2 linked regions of the Neodiprion lecontei genome follow. Each later gene encodes a partner of the first gene's protein in a complex. Links are inferred from orthologs where the notes say so. Each region holds a gene or a part of one and is shown on either strand. Other genes may lie near its edges.

Evidence for each region. The genes of interacting proteins can lie anywhere in the genome.
Region 2: the proteins of NADH dehydrogenase [ubiquinone] 1 beta subcomplex subunit 10 (region 1) and NADH dehydrogenase [ubiquinone] 1 beta subcomplex subunit 11, mitochondrial are in contact, whole or in part, in a cryo-EM structure (PDB 8BA0), measured with the Drosophila melanogaster proteins. The link is inferred for Neodiprion lecontei from reciprocal best matches to the Drosophila melanogaster genes ND-PDSW and NP15.6. Residues at the interface, in NP_651972.1 of Drosophila melanogaster: Trp40, His42, Gln43, Phe45, Thr50, Ile51, Asp52, Ala65, Phe69, Arg70, Arg71, Met74, Val75, Glu78, Ile79, Ile82, Leu83, Arg86, Ala112, Asn115, Trp116, Ile118, Lys119, Ala129, Tyr133, Gln136, Lys137, His138, Arg139, Leu140; in NP_650774.1 of Drosophila melanogaster: Gln101, Phe102, Arg103, Trp105, Ala106, Gln107, Arg108, Glu109, Gly110, Phe111, Leu112, Glu113, Leu114, Val125, Ser126, Pro127, Asn128, Tyr129, Val130, Asp131, Pro132, Ser134, Ile135, Thr136, Leu137, Pro138, Leu143, Glu147, Ile148, Ile149.

What each region holds. Positions count from the first base shown.
Region 1 is NC_060263.1:2,683,248-2,686,543, reverse strand, and holds NADH dehydrogenase [ubiquinone] 1 beta subcomplex subunit 10, read right to left. Parts: upstream 1,664-3,296; 5' UTR 1,558-1,663; coding exon 1,476-1,557; intron 1,358-1,475; coding exon 1,222-1,357; intron 1,133-1,221; coding exon 993-1,132; intron 839-992; coding exon 726-838; 3' UTR 636-725; downstream 1-635. Other genes in the region: 60S ribosomal protein L3, read left to right, coding at 1,811-1,813, 2,214-2,406, 2,507-2,675, 3,007-3,142.
Region 2 is NC_060263.1:6,113,364-6,116,414, reverse strand, and holds NADH dehydrogenase [ubiquinone] 1 beta subcomplex subunit 11, mitochondrial, read right to left. Parts: upstream 1,384-3,051; 5' UTR 1,238-1,383; coding exon 812-1,237; 3' UTR 593-811; downstream 1-592. Other genes in the region: eEF1A lysine and N-terminal methyltransferase homolog, read left to right, coding at 1,861-1,952, 2,079-2,201, 2,302-2,518, 2,585-2,803, 2,890-3,051.

The DNA of each region.
Region 1 (3,296 bases):
ACTAACGCAGATTTCTTGATCCACCCCGAAAAATGCGATCTGGATTCCGCAGCGTCGAAGAACAGTCGAAGTACGTGCGCCGTTCTTTTGATGGTTTCTCCTTGAATTCAAATTTCACTCAGAGCTAATTTCAGATCGCATTCTCGATCACGTGAGTCACGTTTATCAAATTGCCGTCACCTGCAGTATAAGGCGCGGATGTTCTTCAGACTTTATTTTGTATACTGCATTATACCTAGAGTCCTTGGTTTTAAGCGTGCGCCTGATGTTGATAAAAAAAATTTGTTTTCATCAGAGATGTAGGAATGATGTAGGAACGTAGAGATACAATACTAGTTTTAAAAAAAAACTGCTGAATAATAGAGCCAGTGGTCGGTAGCGCAACGACCTCAGAAAAATTTGTAAATACATATAGGTATATTCTAGCTGCATACGGAAGAAAGCGCGGCAACCACATAGCTGAAGCAGAATTTACGAATGATGTTTGAACGGTTTATAGATAGAAGAGAAACACCTCTATGTGTATTACATACATTCAATAAATTTCTTCAAGATACATCTCACAGTTCGCTTGGAATTATTGGCGATAGATTGAGTTGATTAGCAATTACATTATTGTTTAAAAATCAGAAAAGTTTCATGATCATTTTTATTAATTTATTGTGTATAATTATCTACAATATCGATTTTTCGCGACTCTATAAAATGTATTTTCATTTTAGTTTTTATTCGCGATTCATTCCAGTTCCAACTGGACCATATCGTCTTTCCCAAATCATGCGATGTTTTTGTTTCATTAATGCGTCTCGTGTGTGACCGTATGCACCAAGGTCACCATCTGGAAAAATGATAATAATGTTTACTATGTGTACAGTATCGTGCAGTGGAGATATAGAATCCCTGAAAATCTGAAGAAACCATTCTTCGATATTAGATGTTCAGAGTACAGAAGATTCAACAAGTAAGATAAGTCGGCGCCATACTCAACATACACTTGATAAACCAATTCGTAGAAGCTTCGTTGTACTGATCCCACAGATGCCGACATTTGGCCGTTTGGTCATGTCCTTCATATAAAGTACAATCCTCGAAACGTTGTCTTAGAATATTTATGATATCGCTTTCAACCAGTCTGAAATATGAGAGAGAAACAAAGCCAAGTTTGACAATTGATAGGAAGAAGCTACCCAGAAAGAATGACCAGTAACTCGGTATAATTACTTGTCTCGTTTGAACTGAATGTTTGCTTCGTACGAGCAAACTGGATCATCCATATAACACTCATCAATGGTTGGAACACGGCGAAATTTTTGGTGGTACCAAGGATAATGTTGCTGATTTGGGACAACAATTTTTTCTAAAATTCGTAATCAAGGAATTATCATCGAGATATACATGCTTGAGAAGACACGGGCGGTCGTTCGGAACATCGGCTATTTTCGTATCATAACCTAAAAGAAGTGATTAGATAATACCTCGGAAAAAGGTGACAGGTCCGTCAAGAATATTGAATACCGCGTTAGCAAATGCGATGACAATGTTCCGTTCCTCTGCCATATTAGACAATTATTTAATTATTATTTACAACAAACAATGTTCTCAAAATAAGTGCGAGGCAGACGACAGAGAGATTTAGATCCGACTGCAGTGAATCGATGTCAAGTAATCGAGAGGTGTGTCTCTTCCATTTCGACTTGACGTTCGAATTCCAAAATCGAATATCGAGGCTTCTCCATAGTTGCCGTCATCACTGCGGTATAAAAGTGAAATCCGCAACGTACGATCCTCCATTTTCAACGCAGTCAGCGCGATGGTGAGTACGGTTGATGTCTGTCGGTGATAAAATAATCCGTTAAAATCTGTGGCATCCTGCATCGCCTGCGTCCAATTAACTCATCGAGTTACTGAGAACAGGTTTCTCTGTAATTGTAGTGCAATATTTTTTTCCTACCGTTAATCCAAAACGCCGTAAAAATTTTTCGGAAAATTCGAACCTCGTGTCGCGTCCCTTGGCTCGTCGAGAGTTTTTGGCGTTTTCGATGCAATGCTACTCCTATCAGTGATGATTTAGATTTCAATGTTTATGGTTTAAACTGATTAACCCTGATGATATTATTCTAGGGCGGTCTGAGAATTTTATCCCCTAACAAAACGCCCGTCACACGTGGCCATCTGCAACTTCTAATCTTGTATTTTTCATTCTTTGCCCACAGTCTCATAGAAAATTCAGCGCGCCCCGACACGGGTCTATGGGGTTCTACCCCAAGAAGAGGTCTCAACGGCATCGTGGAAAAGTAAAGGCCTTCCCCAAGGATGACCCTACCAAGCCCGTTCACCTTACTGCTTTTATAGGCTATAAGGCTGGCATGACCCATGTTGTCCGAGAAGCTGACCGTCCGGGATCAAGTGAGTCGATTACCCTATTTTCACCCTTCCCTAATCATGGAGCAAATTCATAGCCCTCACGCTCTAATCCTGCAACGACATGTTTATTTGCTTTTAACAGAGGTCAACAAGAAGGAAATTGTCGAGGCTGTGACTATTTTGGAAACTCCACCAATGATTGTTGTTGGTGTTGTTGGATACATCGAAACTCCTCATGGTCTTAGGGCTCTGACTACTGTTTGGGCAGAGCATCTCTCAGAAGAATGCCGTCGCCGCTTCTACAAGAATTGGTATGCGATTGATTGTAGACTGAACATTTTGAATTACCAGATCCTTAGATAGCTTGATATATCAAAGTAATGCAAAAAGAAAACATCAAGTCAACACTGTTCTTTTTACTAGTGCAGTATGTAGTTTTAGCTTCTGTGATTAGACGTGCATTATACTCTACTTGCTCTACCCCAGCTCTCCACTCGAAAGATGAGAGTAATATTCGGAATCAGCCGCCTGGCGTAATCCTCATTATGCATGGGGTTGTTCCGAGAAGGTGTCCAGTCTCCTCTCGCTATGATGAGACTGGCTCCGTACAATATGTTTAGGAACCTCGTTGCTGTTGTATAGGTATAAGAGCAAGAAGAAGGCGTTCACCAAGGCATCAAAGAAGTGGCAGGATGATCTTGGTCGCAAATCAATCGAGAAGGATCTTAAGAAGATTGTGAAGTACTGCAAGGTTGTGCGCATCATCGCCCACACTCAGGTAATTTTTCCCTTCACAGTATGGAACATTACTCCAATCTAAATATTTTTGGCCGACGTCATTGCTATTAATTCGTGCAGAAATGCGCTGGATTCTTAGCAAATGCGGTGCGGAGCTGCTTGATCTCGTGCAGTTTGGTTCTTACCGCGGCGTC
Region 2 (3,051 bases), about 3.4 Mb from region 1:
TTTAAATCATATACATAGGTATGTATCATGTATGTACACTGATATTAGGTAAATTACTATATTAATTTATACACATGTATTGTGATTATGCTACCTAGAATTATTTTGAATGAACTTGTTCGATCGTTAAAATGCATTTTTACATACACACATAAATGCGAGTTTTAATTTGAACAAAGGATTTTCAAAATGGGGACATTAGGTTGGATAAAAAAGGAGGACAAAAATCGGTACTTTCACAGACTTAAGACTATTTCTGACCAGCGTTTTGTATAGATTATATGACGATAAAAAAAACGAGTGGTAGAAGTTTTCAACAATTAATTTTGACAAGAATTCAGATTAGCTCAGTACTGTAGCGCTGTAGATGTTATTTTCCATCAACGTGCGTCTGCTGCTATTAATTTGGAGGTGTATTATATTTTTCATAGGTTTTACAAAACTATAATAACAAATATTAAATGGTATTTAAAAAAATTTATCGTAAATATGTAAAATTATTTTCCACTGTTTTAACTGAAGACAAACTGTGAGAATAAGATTGACTAAGGATTATTTTTAACGAAGAGTGAATGAAAGAAGAAACATCGGATCGCTAGTACACAAAATTTTATTGTTATCTGCTGGTGAATATGAAGACTGTATAGTAGCAGTTTGCTCGGAGTGTAAGTTTTTTAGTATCGTAAGTTAATATACATCTACAGTTTGCTGTTCGCCAGGTGTGCGGTAACGCTTTACACTAAATAATATCAACTATCGTATGCAACAACATGCAGTTCCAAGGAGAAAATTAACATGATTGACTTATTCTCTAAATGATGATCTCTGTGTCGCCCAGTTCCTCATCGCTTGGAAGTTTGATTTTGGCAGGATCAATAAAGTTGCGATCAATCAGAGGAAGTCCATTCTCTTCTCTATAGCGAAGTAAAAGGTATGCTTCTCGTTGCGCCCAGTCCTTGAGCAATGGATCTGGCAAGTAGGACCAGCCAAATCCTCCAATAACGAGGCAAAGGGTGACGGTGACAAATAATGTTTGCTTCATAACATTTCGATCGATGGTCTTGCTGTTTCGATCGAAACCGTAGCTCACCCAGTTCTCCTTAGGGGGTTCCGCACACTGCGTCTGACTCTTGGCTTCGCATTTTTTTGACGAGGAATTTATGCTGCGTCTTGAGGTTACACCTGTCAACGCGTTTCTCAGCCTCTGAAGCCCTTGCAGACGAACTACACCCGCCATCCTCGCTCTCACTAATCACTATTGGAGACCAGCAGCAAACCTCGATCGTAGAGGTTAGTTACGCAAACTATAAGGCACGAGCCAACGGACAGACGTAGCTCCGAACCTGTACCACAAATAAAGTTGTAACTGTGATGTAAGAATAAGAATATAAGGTGTTTTCCTCCGGTCGATACGTTTTCTTCCAGTACTGCGCCGGCCGAATAAAAGCCATCTTCTAAACAATTTCGAATACGATTGGTTGAAAACCCAAGATGGCCGTCATACGGTCGGGTTTTGGAGATTAGGCTTAGAGATAGCTGCGCAAGAACACACCTCAGTTGAACAGCGATTGTGTAACACGCGCCACGAAGAAGCTTTTCAGCAGACGACAGGCATTGATTTGGGCGAATTCCGTTGATCGTCGTTACCTATAGACATCAGCTTCTATGAGCCAATCGCGTTTCAGAATCCAGTGGACGCCGCTAATGGATTTCTCTCGCTGATATTCTGGCTGCACAAGCATATTGAGTTTTGAAACGGTTTTGATGGAAACCAAGTTTAAAGTGTTCGACAAAAATAAAAGAAAAGGTTAGGGGTGAGCGCAGCGCGTGGATCGCGCAAAATTTGAAAAGATAAATAAAATGGATCTACTGCCTAAATCGCACGAGGAATTCAGTCAGCAAACTTATTGGAATACGTTTTTTTCAAAGCGTGGAAAGAAAGCCTTTGAATGGTAAAACGAGATCAATTTTTTTCTTGTTGAAGTAATGCTAACCTGCCGTAACCTAACCTATCCTCAGTTGCCCATTTAAATAATTTTTTTATTTTATTTATGTTTGTGTGATTTTATAAATTTCAGGTACGGTGAGTATCCAGAATTATGCGGGCATCTCCACAAATATATAAAACCAAAAGATGACGTTTTGGTAGTTGGCTGTGGAAACTCGACACTGAGCATGGATCTGTACGATGTTGGTTATAGGTATGAATTTAGGTATAAATTGAATAGAGAATGCAAGAAGTGTAGCGTATCATCCCTTTGCTGAAAACTCTGTACCTAATTGCAAGTTTTATTGTTTCAGGAATATCACTAACATCGATATATCGCACGTTGTGATCAGGCAAATGATAGATCAGAATAAAACGCAGAGACCTGCCATGATATTTGAACAAATGGACGCCACAGCAATGAGCTATCCTAACGATAAATTCAGTGTCGTATTAGATAAAGGGACTTTGGACGCTTTGATGCCCGATGAAAGTGAGGATGTTATTTCACAAGTAGATAAGCTGTTTGGGGTAAGTAAGGAGTGTGAAACGGAAAGAAAAGCTTTTCACAGTCGAAACTTTGGTCATGTGTTTCAGGAAATATCAAGAGTTTTGAGAGTTGGAGGAAGATACGTTTGTGTATCGTTATTGCAAGAGCATATTCTTAGAAAGTTACTCTCCTATTTTCCTCAAGCTGATTTTATGTTCAGAGTAACTCGCTGCTACGAAGCTGAAGCAAAAACCCGCGAAGAAGATGGTAGTGCAATGCCAGTGTTTGTAGTAATTGCTACGAAATTTAAGAAGCTACCAGCACTGGTAAGATTCTTGTTTTTCTTGTGACACAGAAACTTTACACGCGAAGGAAATATTTTCCTGCTAACTATAATTTGTAATTTGAATAGGTTCTTGAAGTGGGCTTGGTTGAAGGTTCTTTAGAACGCGTTTCTACTACCGATGATATTATTTCAGCCATTAAGTCTGCTCAACAAATGGCAGTTATTTGCTCGGGACTTCATAAAGGAAATGTTGTGGATGTTGGAGAGGTTTCTTTGGACTTATATAGA